4 linked regions of the Callithrix jacchus genome follow. The protein of the gene in region 1 purifies or fractionates together with the protein of each later gene. This does not show direct contact. Links are inferred from orthologs where the notes say so. Each region holds a gene or a part of one and is shown in the gene's direction. Other genes may lie near its edges.

The links.
Region 2: the proteins of STAT1 (region 1) and SRC purify together in Homo sapiens (affinity purification with western blotting; 3 studies listed by BioGRID). This does not show direct contact. The link is inferred for Callithrix jacchus from reciprocal best matches to the Homo sapiens genes STAT1 and SRC.
Region 3: the proteins of STAT1 (region 1) and IRF9 purify together in Homo sapiens (affinity purification with western blotting; 5 studies listed by BioGRID and IntAct, with this or other methods). This does not show direct contact. The link is inferred for Callithrix jacchus from reciprocal best matches to the Homo sapiens genes STAT1 and IRF9.
Region 4: the proteins of STAT1 (region 1) and PIAS1 purify together in Homo sapiens (affinity purification with western blotting; 5 studies listed by BioGRID). This does not show direct contact. The link is inferred for Callithrix jacchus from reciprocal best matches to the Homo sapiens genes STAT1 and PIAS1.

What each region holds. Positions count from the first base shown.
Region 1 is NC_133507.1:37,804,402-37,808,650, forward strand, and holds part of STAT1 (signal transducer and activator of transcription 1-alpha/beta), read left to right. Parts: intron 1-735; coding exon 736-825; intron 826-2,544; coding exon 2,545-2,623; intron 2,624-3,685; coding exon 3,686-3,777; intron 3,778-3,989; coding exon 3,990-4,141; intron 4,142-4,249. UniProt on the Homo sapiens protein: Signal transducer and transcription activator that mediates cellular responses to interferons (IFNs), cytokine KITLG/SCF and other cytokines and other growth factors.
Region 2 is NC_133506.1:32,781,879-32,786,866, forward strand, and holds the start of SRC (proto-oncogene tyrosine-protein kinase Src), read left to right. Parts: upstream 1-1,838; 5' UTR 1,839-1,966; intron 1,967-4,988. UniProt on the Homo sapiens protein: Non-receptor protein tyrosine kinase which is activated following engagement of many different classes of cellular receptors including immune response receptors, integrins and other adhesion receptors, receptor protein tyrosine kinases, G protein-coupled receptors as well as cytokine receptors.
Region 3 is NC_133509.1:58,471,540-58,475,784, forward strand, and holds the end of IRF9 (interferon regulatory factor 9), read left to right. Parts: intron 1-205; coding exon 206-330; intron 331-625; coding exon of another isoform or gene 626-686; coding exon 687-768; intron 769-870; coding exon 871-942; intron 943-1,423; coding exon 1,424-1,765; intron 1,766-2,661; coding exon 2,662-2,777; intron 2,778-2,937; coding exon 2,938-3,012; 3' UTR 3,013-3,395; downstream 3,396-4,245.
Region 4 is NC_133509.1:15,176,012-15,180,747, forward strand, and holds the start of PIAS1 (E3 SUMO-protein ligase PIAS1), read left to right. Parts: upstream 1-1,586; 5' UTR 1,587-1,598; coding exon 1,599-1,622; intron 1,623-2,147; exon of another isoform or gene 2,148-2,381; intron 2,382-4,736. UniProt on the Homo sapiens protein: Functions as an E3-type small ubiquitin-like modifier (SUMO) ligase, stabilizing the interaction between UBE2I and the substrate, and as a SUMO-tethering factor. Catalyzes sumoylation of various proteins, such as CEBPB, MRE11, MTA1, PTK2 and PML.

The sequences.
Region 1 (4,249 bases):
TTCTAGAATTTAATCTCTATGAGAATAGGAACCATCAGTTACCACTCTAATACCTGGGCCTAGAACATTGTCTTGCATTTGCTTAGTACCTAGTAAGTATGTGCAGGGCACATCTGGTGTTTTGTCACATCTGAGTGTTCTGATTATCAGAAATAGGACTGAGTACTCCCAGGCAAGTCTGGTTTTATATTCATTATTGACTTTATAGTAGCAGATTTTCATTGATGCCCTTAATTCAATGCCTTTATGTTTCAGTACACCTCTGAATCACTCGAGATTGTGTGAAAATAGGGTTTTCTGATTCCATAATCGAATTAGCCCTTAGATTTTGCATTTCCAACAAGATCCTAGGTGGTGAGATGCTGCTGGTATGAGGACACACTTTGAATCAGAAAGCTTTAAGATAAAGAAGGACAGGGTTAGTAAGAGTAATCTTGTGTACAGTATTTGAGAAACTCTGAACTGAATTCTAGTGTGATGCTATGCAATTGTGTGAATTAATGGAAACTCCCAGAAATAATTACAGACATGAATTAAGCCTAGTTATTTTGCAGCCTTGTTAATAGTTTGCCAGCATTTTCCAGGATCTTGGGAAAAAATTCTTATTGACACATAAGTGGGAAGCCTGTAGTATGTGTCAGAAGATCTGGGAGGCAGGTGGGGACTTTGGAGTGTAACCAGCAAGTACACACCCTGGAGAAAATGATGTCTGTAATCATGCCCTTCCCATTACAGGCTCAGCTGGGGAGTATTCAGAGCACGGTGATGTTAGACAAACAGAAAGAGCTTGACAGCAAAGTCAGAAACGTGAAGGACAAGGTTATGGTAAGTACTGAGTAAACATGTGCGTTTATTCTAAAACTTTCTGTAGGGAAAAAAGGTTTCAGTCCCTTTGGGTGTAAACCTAGTAACTGAGTTCAGTCTTTTAAGTAGTTGGGAAGAAAAATGTTGCAGAAGTCTCAAGCTGTAAGTAAACAAATTGGTAAAATCAATGACCAGATAGACTTTTTAAATGGCCCCTTATTATAACTGCCAAACATTGAGCTTATCTTTTTCTTCCTTGAAAGATCATGCAGTAAATGTTGACTTTGCCCCAGTACCCAGTAAATGAGATGTTGCTGCTCTATTTAAGTCCACACCTTTCAATCACAGTGCCCAGGATAAACATGGCCCATCTTTCTCAATCACCTGTTTTATCCTAAGACTTGGAAGAGGAGTAAAAATACATTTTATTGAAATAAATTTGGATACATTTCTGATTAAGACATCCACAGCAATTTTAGGATAAAACTTCCAAGTCAATTTATGGAAGCAAAGGGCTGCTCTGGCGTTCTCGGTGGTGTACATTTATTCCTTTCCACTGTTAAGGTTGGTGCAGGGAGAGGTTGAGGAGTTCTTCACAAAAGCGTGTGTTGTGGAAAAGGCTTTCCAACTAAGGGGTGTGGTCCTCTGCGGATCTCTGGGTAGCACCAGTATGGCCTTGACTTACATGCTTCAGGCAGCATCTTTCCAAACTCCACATTCTTTGGAGAACTTTATCCATTCTTTGGAGCAAATTCTCCTAGGGAAACATTTCATTAAAGTAGAAACTAAGAGAGCCCAGTCCAGAAATAGCCATGGAAATCCAGAGAAGAATATGTAGAAATGTGACCAAATCCCAAACAAACAAGGCTTATTTGTAGAGTGAACATACAATTTATTGTCCAGATGGAGATGCATTTGAGCCAGCAGGAGGCCACTGTTTATAGAAAGTATGAAACTAGGTCTCTGCCAGTAAAGCAGGGATGTATGGTCACTTTTCTTATTGGAAAGGAGTGAGAAGATTTTCCATGAGCTTTTTATCCCTGTTGTGTGCTTCATAGTGGAGTTCTTAAATCGTGTCTCAGAGGTACTTAAATTGAGTTACTTAAGTATTTAAGTAACTCAGAGTTCTTTCTTTTTTTTTTTTTTTTGAGACGGAGTTTCGCTCTTGTTACCCAGGCTGGAGTGCAATGGCACGATCTCAGCTCACCTCAACCTCCGCCTCCTGGGTTCAGGCAATTCTGCCTCAGCCTCCGGAGTAGCTTGGATTACAGGCACACACCACCATGCCCAGCTAGTTTTTTATATTTTTAGTAGAGATGGGGTTTCACCGTGTTGACCAGGATGGTCTCAATCTCGACCTCGTGATCCACCCGCCTCGGACTCCCAAAGTGCTGGGATTACAGGCTTGAGCTACTGCGCCCGGCCTCCGAGTTCTTAAATTGTATCTCTCAAAAATGAGGAGGAAGAATCAAAATATTGGCCCTGAAACCAGGTTAAGAACATACAAATCAGTTTGAGAATTATTATACATTTGCTTTTTTTTAAAGTGTTATTACATACTTGTTAATGAAATATAAGTAATTTCATGTATATGATTAGACCTCTCCAAGTCAGATCTCTTTTTGAGGGAGCTGGAACTGTTTTCACGTTTCTCGGGGTTCCATAGGAACAAAACTCTGTTTTCTAAAGTCTTTGGAAGTCGCTGATCAGTAGAAAATATGTTTATGTCTTTATTTGTAGTGTATAGAGCATGAAATCAAGAACCTGGAAGATTTACAAGATGAGTATGACTTTAAATGCAAAACCTTGCAGAACAGAGGTAAGGCTTCACAATTGAAGGGGTGCCCATTGGCTGTAATTTTTTCTGTTCACACTAGATAGCGAATATGATTACTGCTTTTTATTTGCCAATTATTTTATGACTCTGAATTGTTCCTTGATAACCCAAGCCAGGGTTCCTTAACATCCAGTACCATTCATGTTTTAGGGCAGATAATTTGTTGTGGGGGCTGTCCTGGCATTGTAGAGTGTTCAACAGCATCCCTGACTTCTACCCACCAGATGCCAGTGGCACTAGCCAGGAACCCTCACTAGTGACAACCAAAATTGTCTTCAAACAATGCAAAAAGTCCCCTGGGGTCAGTGACCCATACTTGATAACCACGGGTTATGTGTTACTCACCTTTGAATTGCGTGTAGTCCACTGATTCATGCAGAGTGACAGAATGTGGAGTTCCCCTGCCCTAATATCTGAAGTTTCTTCAAACATTGCAGGTCCATTGTATACATGGCAGATAAGCTCAGTATTTTTCTCATGTTTTAAAGCAGTGTTACTCTATTTTGTTACTGTTGCTTGTTCTTAATGAGAGTAGCAACCAAAGATAACTCAAGATTGTGTGTTGTACAGAATATGTGGTGTACTACTGTTACTATATTCATCATCTGGCGTATACAACGGTTCATAGGCAGATTATAAGTATGATTTGGGTAAAAAGTATGAGAGACAGCGACTTCAACTACCACTTTATAATCATCTACTTCTCTTCAAAACCTACAGATATGCTTTGCATACATTTTTTTAACTGCAGTTTTGAACTTTGTTATGTACGTTTATTTAGGAAATTATCTGCCAGTGACTGCAGTGGCAGATACTACTATGTCTGATTTAGATGGGTCACTGAAAACAAGCGTTCTGTTTCAGTGTGTCTAGTTGTTATCCTTAGGACTTGTTTTCATGTTTAATAAAGATGGAAGAAAGCCAAACTTTGACCTGTCTCTAGGCGGCATCTGTATCTATTTATCCTAAGTTATATTATCTTGGCTTTTGTTGGTTTTGTCTTATTTATGTAAATATATTTACTGGCTGTCTCTCAATTTATAGAACACGAGACCAATGGTGTGGCGAAGAGTGATCAGAAACAAGAACAGCTGTTACTCAAGAAGATGTATTTAATGCTTGACAATAAAAGAAAGGTAGTTATTTACTTTCCAGAATAGCATGCTGCTTTTGTTACAGACTATGCATAATGGACTCAATTTCAGAAGAGAGGAAACATTATTTTTTTAACCCCCTTGCTTAGAACCCCAGTTGAGAATGAAACGATACTTGCTTTTCTTTTAAAAAATATTTGAAAATTCAGTGATTAAAAATGAATTTATTTCACTATTTCTTCCACTGCCTTTAGGAAGTAGTTCACAAAATAATAGAGTTGTTGAATGTCACTGAACTTACCCAGAATGCCCTGATTAACGATGAACTAGTGGAGTGGAAGCAGAGACAGCAGAGCGCCTGTATTGGGGGGCCACCCAATGCTTGCCTGGATCAACTGCAGAACTGGTAAGATTCTCCAAAGTGGAAAACCAGCAGCTGACTAGCTAACCACATAAGCTCATCAATGCCCCTTTGAGCTGTGTTGAATGGACCTTGTCAAAATGTTGGTATAGA
Region 2 (4,988 bases), on another chromosome or scaffold:
TAGCCCACTGTGCAGGTTGGTACATCGAGGCTGCTTACATTATCTGCGAAGAGGCAGAGTTGAGACTTGAACTTGGGTCTGGAAGAAAAAAGAGGCTTGACTGGTAGTGTATTCCAGTGTCCAAGGGGTAAATCCTCCCCTGTGGCTGACGTGGAGCTACCAGTGTGACATTATTGAATGTGGAATTGGGAAGAGATGAGCAAAGTCAGTTCTTGCAAGTTGGTAAGAGCCAGCTCCAGTGTGTCACTGGGTGAATGTCTCTGCCTCCCCCTTAGCCCAGTATGGCCAGTAAAGGCCTTGAGACATGTCTAAGGAATGGAAGAGGGCTGGGAAACCTGCTCCTCCAGCCAGGGGCCCGCCTGAGTCCTGGGAAGCTTTGGTTAATCTTTAAGCCAGCCTTGCAAGGAAGTGCAGCCATTTCACCAGGCTGGGCTGACCTCTGCTGTGGACTTGCTGTGGCATCTCCAGCCGCCCCTTTCCCCTCTGACCTCGGCTTATCACCGCAAGAGGTGCTATTCACTGAGTACCACCCAACCATCCTCACAGTGGTCAGTTCCAACCTTCCCAGGAATCTTCTGTGGCCATGTCCACTCCAGTTTTACAGGTGAGGGGGCTGGGCTGGGAAGCTGATGGACTTGTCCACCGTGCTGCAGAGGGCCAGCTAGCCTAGATGCGAACCGAGATCAGGGTGGAGTAAGGCTTTGCTCATTCTTGGTCTCCTGGAAGGTATGTTGTACCCAGAAGCCTTTGCCTTCCACATTCTAGCGTGCTCCTCCCTGCTCCTCTCAGCAGGGACCTTTGCCCAGAAATTAGAACCCTGGCAAAGGTTTCTGTTTGCCTTTGACCTGGCTGGGCCTTAATTTCCCATTTGTGAAATGGAGAGAACTTTCAAAGAAGAAATGTGGAGGCAGGGGTGGTATTTAAAGCTAGACCCAGGCCCACTTTTCCCTGTGCTAGGATTCCAGGACAGGTGAGGAGGCAAGGGTGGGGTGCCCAGCGCCCTGGAGGCTGGGGCCAAGGGGTGATGGGGGTGACAGGGAAGTCTGGCCATAAGCAGCTGCCCTGGTTCAGAGGTACTTAGCCTCTTTACTTACTTGGAACTGTGATTGCCGCTCAGATGCCCTGGTCAGCCCCTCCTAAGCAGTACTATCTGGAACTAGGGAGCTTCCGATGGACTGCCAGCGACGTTTTTTCCCTGTGCGCTTAAAATGATCCCGTATCTATTAAAATAAATGTCGCTCCTCCCCACCCTGCCCGTCCTGCCCCAGTCCCCACTTTGAGAAACTCAGGTCAAGGCTAAGGTCCAAGGCCTGGTTCTTGTCAGTGCCTCAGTTTCCGCATCTGTAAAGTGGGAATGATCTTCCTCAGCTCAGGCCAGGTGGTGGTTAGGCTTAAACCCTGAAGTCGACCTGAGCAGCTTAGCATGGCGCCTGGCACAGAGCGGGTGCTCCACTCCCGCTGATATCATTACTAACCGTGATTGCGGGAGAGGTGGATCTGGGGCGTAAGGGTGGGTGGGCTGGGGAGGGCATTTTGGCCTGGGGGCGGATGGGGCCCGCGGGGTGGGGCGCCCCGGCGGAGTGGGGGCGGGGCTTTTGTGCCCGGCGTCCCCGCCCCGCCCGGACCCCCGGCTCGCGCCGCGCCTGGGTCTCTCCTGGGTCACCGGCGGGGAATCCGTCCCCGCGCGCTTCCTCCTTCCTCCTCCTCCCGGCTGCCTGCCGGGCCCCTCCTCCCGGCTCGCGCGCTCCCTCCCTCCTCTTCCCCTCCCCGGGCCGCCGCCGCCTCCTCCTCCTCCTCCTCCCTTTCTCTCTCGATCTGTCTCTCCCGGCCCGGAATCCATTCCGGCCTGGGAGCCGGAGCGGCCAGGCCGCCGTCTGCCCGACCCGCTGACGGTCCCGCGGTCCGCCCTCCAGTGCGTCCGTCTGCCGGTGCGTCTGCCCGCCTGCCCGCCTGCCTGCCGGCCCAGGTGAGCGTCCCCCGCCCCTCCGCGAGCCCCCAGCCACGGCCTGCGCCGGGGAGCCCCCGCCCCGGACCACCCTGGCGTCGGATCGTCGGCCTACTGGGGCTCCTGTCTACCCCCCAATTCCCACTCCCCGGGGCCGAGCCGCGATACCCCAGCGCCGGGCGGGCCCACGGGGCCATGCCCGGCGAGGCCTTTTGTTGTGATGCCGCGGGGAGAGGGGGCTGGGCGGGGGGGCGCAGGGGTCCTGGCTGCGTGGGGACCCCCTCCAGCTCGTGCTCCCCATAGGATCCCCCAGAGAAGCGGGCGAGCTGGGCCCTAGCCCCCGGGCCAGGTCTAGGCCAAATCTGAAATCTGAGCCAGTAGGCGCCGCCTCTGGCCGTGGCTGCCTGGCCCTGCGACCCCCGGCCGGGGGTAGGAGGTGGGGGGAATCGGCAGAGCGGGCTGAGGGGCCCCGGGGTCAGGGCGCCAGGCCGAGCCGCCAGGACCTCCCTGCCCTCGTGGGGCCTTGGGTAGGGCCTGGTGCTGCCGGCCTGGAAGGGACTGGGCCAGACTGCGTTGGGTTTCCACTGTCCACAGCCCCCAGCCTCGCCCCTGAGTAGGCCCAGCCACCAGCCGGCTCAGAAGTTGGCAAAAGTTTTGGGTGTTGGCCACCGGGCCAGGTCCACCTCTCTGCCTGGGCTGGGATTGGGGGTGGGTATGAGTCCCCACCAGGGCTGCCACTTGCCCTGCTGTGTGTCCTCAGACAACTGCCTGCCTCTCTGAGCTGGGGTCCTCATCAGTGGCAGGTGGGCCTGGCTGGAATTGCTGGGCTGGTGGAAGGATGGGGTGAACAGAAGGGGCTCACCTATGTGGTATCCTTTCGGCCCCTGCATCCTTCAGGTGGACTTAAGAGTGGACAGAGCCTGTGTGTGCCCCTGGGCAAGGCCTCCTGAACTTTGTGGACTCTTTACAATTTGGGGCAGTGGTTGCCCGGTCACCTGGGGTATGTCCAGACCCAGCCACAGCCACAGTGTGGGCCAGGCTGGGCCTGTTGCTGACCCTCTTCTCAGCCCCCTTGCTGGGGGGTCAAGACTGAGGCTCTTGTCTCACCTGGTGACCTGGGCCAAGACACCGCCCTCTTAAGTTCCCCATAGGTGAAATGAGAATCCTCAGGTGAAGATTCTAGTAGATGCTCAATGAATGAAGTCTTCACCGAATGCATTGGCTGAGAAAGATGGGTGAGAGGCGAGGTTGCTGGCTAGTTCATTCTAGAAGAGTATGGATTGGTGTCTTGAGAAAGAAACAGCCGGGGCCGATCCTGCCAGCAGCTGTGTGACCTCGAGCAACTCACTCTTCCCCTCTGGCCTCAGTTTTGCCAAGGATAAAAGTGGGCCAGCGGTCATGACAGTTGCTAACATCTACTGAACACCTTTTCAGAGGTAGGGACTCTTGTTTATCCTTGTTTTGCTGATGATGGGGGAAACTGAGGCTAAGAGAGAAGTGACTTGCCAAGGCCATACAGTTGGAAGCTGGAATTAAAGCCCAGACCTCAGAGACACAGTCTGGCTGTCCTTGCATCCCTCGGTGCTGGGGCAGTGGAGGTCCCCAAGACAGGACTGCTTGCACAGCCGTGTTGGAAGAAACTGTTCTGTCGAGGGATTGAGTGAAAGCCACGAGGACTTTTTGGTGATGTGGTGATCTGGTATTTCCATCCGAGGAAATGATTTACAGTGTGTCACCTCCCAAAGCTGACTGCCTGCCTGCTCCTGGGCCTTTGCTCTTAAACCGTGTCCCTCTTAGAGTGCCCTTTCCTCCAGGTGCTGCATATCTGCCCTTGCCTCAGCAGGCTTAGGCCCACCTCTCCTAGGAAGAAGGTCCCTGGCTCTCTCTCCTTGTCCCCTATCTCTTCTTGGAGCATGAGTTATCCACAGCTCAGCCTGGCTCCTGCTTTTGCTTCTCTGACTGCGGCCTGTTGGGTGGGGGTGGAGGGATGTCTGGCTCCCCCAAGCCCTAGGAACCAGAGAGGAGATGGCTCAGTGACCTGTTGAGGGACTCCGCCCATCCCCCTGTTCTTCAGCTGACCCCATGTTCTCAAACCTTCCCATGTATAAGCATTTGTGACTCTGTATTAAGCACCTGCTGTGTACCTGGAGCTTGGAACTCGGGCTGAGCAGTATTGTGCTGGGGTTAGCAGGGAGCAGCAGCTGTGGGAATCCTGGAGGCTTCCAGAAGGTGGCAGGGCCTGAGCTGAGGACAACCAGGAGTTCACCCAACAAAGAAGGGGAGAGAGAGCTTTTTTTTCCCTTCCCCGGGGCCCCGGGGTGGTGGGGTGTGGTCAGCCTGGTTGGATACTTGCTGGGGACCTGGGAACAGGTCCTTGGCCTCCCAGAAGTTTGAATCTGAAGGGTGGGCAAAGTTGCAAACACATTGCCATGAGTTACTGTATAATCACAGATATGATAAGAGCTCAGGGAGAGAGGCCTGGGGTAAAGAGGAATCTTGAAGGAGGCATGTAGGGGTTGGCCAGGCATGGAGTTAGGGAAAGGGCTTGCCAGGCAGCAGGACATGCACGTGCAAAGGCCCTGAGGTAGGTGCCAAGACGTGTGCTGTCATGGAGAATCAGTGGGAGAAACTCCGAGGCCAGAGTTCGCACAATGGGGGGAGTGGGTGAGGACAGAACAAGGGGGTAGATCAGCAGGGCTGGACCATGTGGGGGCCTTGTGGGCCCTGGGGAAGAGTTTGGCCTTCATTGTCACACAGGGGGCTGATTGGTGTCCCCTGTGTGAACAGCCCGATGCTGGAGGCCAGAGGTACAGAGCTGATCAATAGAAACAGATCTGATGAGAGAACTAGATCTGCAGGCTGCATGCCCATATTTTATGGAGGATCTAATCCCCCATAAAATGTTGATGTGAGTATTTGAGGTTTCAAGAGGAGCGGATATTTGAGACTGGGCTTTGGAAGTGGAGTAGGAGTTCACTAGCAGGAAGGCCTGGAAAGGATGAGAGCCAGGGGTGTGGGAAGTGCCGGGTGGCTGGAAGCTGGG
Region 3 (4,245 bases), on another chromosome or scaffold:
CTAGACTCAGCAGACTGGGGAGGAAGGGTAGACCTGTGGGCCTCTACCAGGCTTCTCACAGCTCTGCCCTCTTCATGCCCTGGGGAGGCTGCTACCCAGATTTCCCTTCCTAGCCCTGCCCATCCTTCACTGCCTCAGACCTCTCCTTTACCCTCTGTCCCTGCTCAAGACTCTGACCTTTCTCTCTCCCTCAACAATTCTATAGGAGGGACTCAGAAATCACCATCAAAGCAACAGCACAGTTCTGTGTCTTCTGAGAGGAAGGAGGAAGAGGGTGCCATGCAGAACTGTACACTCAGTCCCTCTGTGCTCCAGGACTCCCTCAATAATGTGAGCGATGGAGAGGGAATTGGGCAGGCCTGAGAGCAGGACAGTAACTAGAGGGAGAGGTGGGCCAATGAAAGCATCTTCAGAGGCCAAGGTGGGCACATCGTCTGAGGTCAGGAGTTCAAAACCAGCCTTGACCAACATGGTGAAACCTTGTCTCTACTAAAAATCCAAAAATTAGCTGGTCATAGTGACAGCTGCCTGTAATCACAGCTACTCGGGAGACTGAGGCAGGAGAATAGCTTGAACCTGGGATGTGGAGGTTGCCATGAGCCGAGATTGCGCTATTGCACTGCAGCCTGGGTGACAGAGTGAGACTCCGTCTCAAAAAAAAAAGCGAAAAAACACTGTGTCTGCAGGAAGAGGAGGGAGCCAGTGGGGGAGCAGTCCATTCAGACATCGGAAGCAGCAGCAGCAGCAGCAGCCCTGAACCACAGGAAGGTACCACCTGCTTGCCTCTTGTGTCATCCACCATGTCACACACTCTGGCCCAAGACTCCCCAGCCCCACTCTGAATGACCAGTGCCTTTGCTTCCCTTCCAGGTACAGATACAACTGAGGCCCCCTTACAAGGGGATCAGGTGTCCCTGGAGTTTCTACTTCCTCCAGAGCCAGGTACGTGACATTTCTAACTTTCTCCTGTGTTCCTGAGGCCTTCCTCCTTTGATCGTACATGCATTATCTAGTCAGTCAGGGCTTACAGGAAACTGTGACCATCTTATCATAGCCCAAGGCACTTGTTTCTAGGTGGTGAGATTCCACATACCTGGCCAGACTCTAAAAAGCTTGCTTCCCAAAAATACCACCCTATACACTCTCCTGGAAATCCACACTGAGACACTAATTTCTTTGGGCCAAACAGAGCCCCAGTCTCAAGGGACCTTCTTGTAAATGACAGGACCCTGGGCATTAAGCCCTGAGGCCTCATGGTGAATCACTCAGTAGTACTAGCTACTTGCCTGAGTGATGGGAAAACCTGAGGGGAAGCCCCCTGGCCAGTGAGGGGAGGGGAGTGGAGATGTTCCCCTGGGGAGGGGCTACCACCAGCCTGCATGCTCCTCCAGCACCAGGTACAGCTAGACTGTTCTATCCCCAGACTACTCACTGCTGCTCACCTTCATCTACAACGGGCGCGTGGTGGGCGAGGCCCAGGTGCAAAGCCTGGACTGCCGCCTCGTGGCTGAGCCCTCAGGCTCTGAGAGCAGCATGGAGCAGGTGTTATTCCCCAAGCCTGGCCCACTGGAGCCCACGCAGCGCCTACTGAGTCAGCTTGAGAGGGGCATCCTGGTGGCCAGCAACCCCCGAGGCCTCTTCGTGCAGCGCCTTTGCCCCATCCCCATCTCCTGGAATGCACCCCAGGCTCCACCTGGGCCAGGCCCACATCTGCTGCCCAGCAACGAGTGTGTGGAGCTCTTCAGAACTGCCTACTTCTGCAGAGGTGAGGATGCTCTCACTGGGCACCTGAGCTCCTATCTTAGTACCCCCCGGGCCCAACTTGGTGGGTCCTGCCACCACCCTGTTTGCCAGCAGATCTTCCATGTAGCCTATGCATGGCACTCCTGCACTTGTGTGGTGCACATCGTGTTTGGCCATATGCCCAGCCTGGCAGCTATATGGCAGCTCTTCTCCAGCCAAGACAGTGGAAGAGGAGGTTCAGGTAGAGCTCAGCACAAGAGTGTCACATCTTGGGGAACACCATCACACTGAAGCGTGCAGTCATTATGTGAAGGTGCACAGAAGAATTGGCACAGAGTGAGCCTCATGGCCTTGTCCTATGTACACACATTTGGGAGAGCTGGCACACATCATACCTCTGGCTCTGGCTGCATCATCTCTACTATACTCCAGGAATGCCCTAGGGTTGCCCCCCTCTCCTATCCAGTTCCAGTTCCTACTCAATTCTAAATCTGACTTAAGAGTGGGGCCAGGAGTACAGGGGGTATAGAGTGTGGGTGTTCCCAGGGCCATGGGTACCCTAGCACTGAGAGGGTATGAGCAAGCAGCAAAAGTCTGGGCACATCTGTGTTAGCAGCCAGGGCTGCGGCCTGGGAGGACTCTTAAACTCTCTCAGCAGAGAGAGCTTTTCAGGTTGTGCAGTGATCTGCTACTTCTAACACTTATTTGAGGCAGGGGCACCCTTTCCCGTTTGCACATGGGTGAGTAGCATTTAGTTCCGAGCACTTCTCCTGACCTTGCAGCTCCTGCTCTGGCCTGGGGCTCCATGTGGACCCCCCCTCCTAACTATCTCCATCATGGGTTCCTCACTATTGCCTCCCAACCTGTGGCCCTCTCTCTTGTTTTTCTCCTTCCAACCCTTGACCCTTTCTCTTTCAGACTTGGCCAGGTACTTCCAGGGCCTGGGCCCCCCACCCAAGTTCCAGGTAACACTGAATTTCTGGGAGGAGAGCTGTGGCCCCAGCCATACTCCACAGAATCTTATCACAGTGAAGGTGAGCTCAGAGCAGGGGCAGAGTAGCCTATCTAATGAGAGTAGGGGCAGTGGTGGTCCAGGAGGTGAAGGGGGTCTCCCAGTGGGGAAGGAGCTCCTGGGGGTGGTGTCTGTCCCTGATGCACTCACTGAGACGCTCTTCTCCATCTCTTCCAATACAGATGGAGCAGGCTTTTGCCCGACACTTACTGGAGGAGACTCCAGAGCAGCAGGCAGCCATTCTGTCCCTGGTGTAGAGCCTGGGGAGCCCATCTTCCACCTCACTTCTTTGTTCTGCCTGTCTCCTTTGAAATAGACTCATTCTTCACATGATTGACCTGTCCTCCTCGTGATAATTCTCAGTGGTTGTCTGTGATAGTTGTGTCCTTAAAATCCTCGCACACACTGGCTGGTGGAGAACTCAAGGCTAATATTTTGTCCTTTCTTTTTTTAAATTTTTTATTTTTTGGATTTTGAGATACACACCTTCTTTCATGTGTAAGGGACTGAGAAATTCAAACGGTGTGAACCCAGGGATCTTTCCCTCTTTCCTGACCTCCCAACTCTAAAGCCAAGCACTTTATATTTTCCTCTTAGTTATTCACTAAGGATTTAAAATAAAATTTTATTGAAAGAGGAATCAGTATCTGATTTTTCTGGGAGACAGAGATGTAAACTTATGAGCAGGACACTGGGGTTTTCTTCCTTCTGACATCTTCAAAGCTCTTTCCTCTCCTCTGCCCACAGGTTCTGGCTAAGATGCTGTCTGGGCCCTGTGGGTCCTGGGCCTGGCACTCTGCAGAGGTACTCTCTAGGCAGCCATGATTAGGGAGAGGGTTGGGATTGGCCATTGAAAGGGCACCGAGCCTTCAGCCAGGCACTATAGCCACCAACTTCTCATGGTAGTCTGGGCTCCACAGTTCTTGCTAAGAGCACCAACATCGGGCCTGGGGTTAGACTAGAAGTCTGAAGAGGAGACACTTGAGGGTGACCCAAAACTGTTCTAGAGGCCCTGGGGCCTGAGAATAGAGGAGTCAGAAGAGTTGCTAAACCTGTACCTGCTGTTCCTGGCACCCCTTCCCCCAGCACAAATTGTGCTGTCACCCCAGCAGGGTACTCCCAAACTGGATTCCTTGCTCTAAGTCCCATAAAAGATACTCCAGCCTAGACTGCCATGTCCAACATGCTTTTCATGAGACTTGAGGGCTCCAAATCGACTTACACTCCCTTCCCTTTCCTCTGTGTTCATTTTACTACCAAACTGGAAGTTTTTCCTTCACAAGGCCACTTGTCACCTACTTTTTTGTATATTAACTTCCAGCAAACTAGTTCCAACCCAGGCCACAGCCTTCAGCCTCTGTCTTCCTGCATCCAACACCAGCTTAGCTTTCTAGACTTCCTCCTGTGATTTCACTCATCAGCCCTCAATGGCTCACACACAATCAAATCTGGATGCCTAAGTCCTCCTATGACCCTCCTCCTGCCTCTTT
Region 4 (4,736 bases), on another chromosome or scaffold:
TAGATGGGAGAAATTTCAATATATTTATATGCTGATAGGAGCAATTCAACTGAGAGAGAAAAAACTAATGATGCTGGAGGGTAGGTAATTGCAGGAGTAAAATCCTTAGGAATATGTTTGAGAAAAAATCCAGGTCACTGGTAAAGGGACTGGCCTTCCTAGGCACAGGGACACTTCATTCATAGTAACCCAAATATTACTATGCAGATAAGGGTAGTTTTGATGGTGAGAAGATCAGGGAGTTTATTTCTGATATCCTTCATTTTTTTCACGAGGTATGAGGAAAAGTTGATTAGCAAAAAGTGGGATTTGGGGAGGAGGTATATAGAAGGCTTTTCGTAGAGACAAAAGGAAATAATCTTTCCATCAACTCTACTTTTTTGGGGGGCCTGGGGGATGGAGTTTTGCTCTTGTCGCCCAGGCTGGAGTGCAGTGGCATGATCTTGGCTCACTACAACCTCCGCCCCCCAGGTTCAAGCGATTTTCCTGCCTCAGCCTACTGAGTAGCTGGGATTACAGGCATGCACCACCATGCCCAGCTAATTTTGTATTTTTAGTAGAGACGGGGTTTTGCCTTGTTGGACAGGCTGATTTCGAACTCCTGACCTCAAGTGATCCACCCGCCTTGGCTTCCCAAAGTGCTGGGATTACAGGAGTGAGCCACCATGCCCGGCCATCAAGTCTACTTAAATGTCAATTTAGTGGAGAAAGCCTTCCCAGAATTAAGGACATCTCCCAAACCCTTTCTCTCTCTCAATAAACCTTTTTCTCCTTTGTGGTACTCACTACCATTTGTTATCTTTATTCGTTCCCTTGTCTAATTCCTCATTAGAGAACTACAGAAGGGCAGGGACTTTGATTTCCCAATGTACATTTAGCCGTTAGCACAGGTCCAGCAGATAGTCACTAAATACATACTTTTGAAAACAAAAATATTAATGAACACCTTCACAGTTTTGTCTTACGCCAGCCACCTCGTTAAATCCTTGTTTATATGCAAGTCGCTTTTTCTCTCTGAGCTTTCATTTCTGAATCTATACCATGGGAATTATCTTTTCCTTGCCTATCTCACCGCGTTATCAAGAGGAGGCTCTGAGCCAATAATCCTAGAAATGCTTCATTAAAGGGTCCCTTAAATGTAACGGATTTCTATTTTTTGCCCACTGGTAGCCTTGCACGTAGCAGGTGCTGAAAAGCCTTGCTTATTGGGGGTTGGGGGACAGTATTGTTTCTGTGACCGTAGGCGTCGAAGCTATGCAGAAGCATTCCGCGGACTGCGGAGAGATGGGGCTCAGGCCAGCATCCCTCTCGCTCCGGCCCTTCCCGGGAGGGCTGGCCGAGCGAGGATGGGGGGCTGGGAGGCCGTGGGGGCAGTAACTGTCAAACCTCGCGGCTTGGCGCCATTATTTAAATGGTACGTGCTTGTCTCGCAGCTGTACGTGCCCGGGGCGGGGCTTCGAGCGCCCGGAGCGGGGCGGAGGCAAGAGGCGGGCTGGGAAGGTGGAGGGGCGGGGAGGGGTGGGGCCAGGCAGGCTGGAGAGGCGGGCCTAACGGCGGCCCCCGGCAACGTTCACTGCGCTTGCGCTGACAGACGCAAGATGGCGGACAGTGCGGAACTAAAGGTAAAGCGCAGCTCGAATTCACTTCTAATATTCGGCCGCGGAGACGGCGCCGCTGGTGCCGAGGGGGATGGGTCCGACCCTGGGGGGCCGCTCGGGCCTGACTCCACCCGGGCTTGGAGTTGCAGGGAGAGAGGCGCGCCCAGTCTCAGCAGAGGGGGCCCGGCTGCGGCGGGCCGCGGGCCCCGGGTGCCTCGGGGGCGCTGACGGGTCGTCCCCGGCGTGTTATTGTTGTGGGCGCCTCTGGCGGGGGTGGCGGGGGAAGAGATAGGGAGTCGGGAGGTAGGGGCTGCAGCTGTCTCCCGGGCTCGGCTTTTTCACCTTCAGTTAGCCTCCCCGCCCCCCATGGGGAGCTGGGGCTGGGGGCAGGGTGCTCTTGTAGGGGGGATTGGGAAAGCTCCCCGTGGCCGCTTCCTCTTCCTCCTTTGCAGTCCCGGGCTCCTGTCAGGCGCTCTTCTCAGACCCCCGGGAACTTGGCTCCGGCCGCCCCGCCCCTCCGTGGATCCCTGTCGCCCCCGCCCCGGACTCGGCTTTCCCCGGCTGCTCGCTTGTCAGGAAGCGCCTGGGGTGCCCCGCTTGTGGGGAAGCGCGATCCTAGGGCTATAGGGTGGGGATCTCGGGGAGAAGCTCTGGTAAAGTTTGGCGAGCCCCGGGCCGACGTTGGGGTTCGGCTGAGAGGTAGCCGGGGGGAGTCAGCCTGGGCGGGACGTTACTCTCTCTCTCTGATTCCAGGCAGCCGAAGGGAGAAACCCCCCTCCAAGAGTGAGTCTTTGGAAGCAGTGGTGGGAGGGGGGATCCATCTACCTCTCTCCCTTCTCTTGCCTTGGCTGGTGTGGAGGGTGAGAGGAGCCTTTGGGGGGTCTCTGCACACACCATGATGGCGATGCTGTAGCTGATGGAGGTGAATGGTTCGTGTTTATATCCCCCCATTGCCTTTTGTTTGTAGGGACAGCTTGCTGGCCATGTTGATTTGAACGAAATTCTCCCCTCACGCTACTCCAACCCCCGATAAATAGAACGTTCCTCTTAACTGTACCAATTACCCACACCTCACGAAATTAGATGAAAGGGTGCCCCCTTTTCCCCGCTTTTCTCCCACCCCAATCTTTACCTGATGATGGCTTCTTTACCGAAGCAGATATACCACTACACAAGCAGTTGGGGGAGGAGGGGTGAAACCCTTATGATTGGATTGTGACAAATGGGGCTCCGCTTGAATAATTTTGGTTTAGTAGCAGGCAGTTCTTAACTAACGCGTATTATTTCGAGGCTCTGAACTCGATCTTCTCTATGGCTTACTGCGTGTGTGAACCCAGCAGCTGGTTATATCTCGACCCAGAGAACTGACATCTCTGTCGGAGTGGAGATTGGGATATACAATTGTAAATCTTTGGGGAGAGCCTTCTTTTTATAATTAATAAAAATTATGTAACTTTTTTCTCCGTTATAATGAAACCACAACTTCTAGAACAACCAAATGCCTGATTTGATTCTGTAGAGTTTTTCCTGTGGAATAGCCTCACCGAAAGATCTTTTCTCCTAATAACTTCACAATGTTTACATTCCAAGATTTGTATATTAAAGTATTGGCTTTGAGTGTCATTCTTTTAACATGTACTTTAATTACAAATTTACTTAAGGGAGAGCAGGTTTAGAATGGATGGTTTGGTTTTTCCCCAGTTTCAAACTATTGCCTGAAATGAGAAAGCCTTAGGAATTTGAATATTTGGAGATAATTAACCTTTGAAATAAAAAAAAAAAAAGCACAACTTTAAGACATGTTTTTCTCTTAAAATAGAGTTACCATGTTGCTGTGGTCTTTGCCTTCTAATATTTATTTTGTTAGGAGTTCTTTTGAATGATAGCTAATCAGTTGTTATACATAGACCATAGAATAAAGCTGAAAAACTTGTGCAGACTATATTGTCACTCTTGATGCTGTCCAAAGAAACTAGTATGGAAAGCACATGCTGAGAGATTTCCTTCTTTGTTCTTTCTCATTTTAAGAAAGTGCCTTTGGGGATAGATCAGATCCCTGGTGTGAGTCTTGTTAGGTAAAGTTTCTCTTTACAAAAATGAACCAGTATCAGATAAACACCAAACACTTGAAGAAATGTTATTTTTCTAAAATTAGTCTCCTTTTTTGCTCTCTCCAAAATCTACTTGAGTTTTTCCAGAGGAATTTTTTTTTCTACTTTTATGCTCCTGTTGTATACTTTTTCAAATTATAATAACTGTTTTGACATGTTGGTATGTCATTGTGTATGTCTGAGACTTTGAGGAGCTGTGTGATAAACTGCTTAGCTGGTGTTAGCTGTGTTAAAAAAAATTTGGTTAGTACTTCATTGTGGTTAGATTTGCTGTTTCTTTTTTGGGGGGTGGAGGAGGTGATCTCAGGAACGCCTACCATAGTTATTCGAGAATGTGTTAAAAAAAAGAATGTGTATATATAATTTTCTGTGCAGTAAGGTTTGGCAGATACTTCTTTTGGAAATGATATTTATGGAAGGCTTTTTGTTTGTGATTTTTGGAGGTAAATATCATACATTCCTATTATGATAGGTAAAATCAGAGTAAGAAGAAAAAAAATCTAGATTTTTTTTTTGAAATTTTAAATGGGTATAGAGTACTTCAGCTGTGAAAGCTTTTGTGTAAATACCGTGACTTTCATTATCTTAGGTCTCAGCCCCACACTTCATTTTGCTGTGGATTGTATTCATAATTATTTTCCTCATGGTTTTTTTAGTGAGTCCTTTTAAATCTATAAGGAATCTGCGAACATCAGATGGGAAAACAGATCTTTATCCCCTGTAGGAATTGTGCACGCTGCAACACTTCAAGATATTGCCAATAAAAATTAGATTGTAAGTCATACATATCAAAATGAATTCTCTATGCACATTTGTTTATGAAAGCTTTAATTTTTCATTAGGAGAATACCCATAAATGACATTTTTAAGAATGTGGAGAGTATTTTGTCATCTTTGGGAACTTAAAAGCAGGAGGTTGTGATGACCAGATGATCTTGGTAGTTAAAAAGCTGACAGCTTCATGCAGCTCCTCTTAAAGTACTTTAAAATATATACATTTTTTTGGAGTAAAACTCAAACCAAGTTA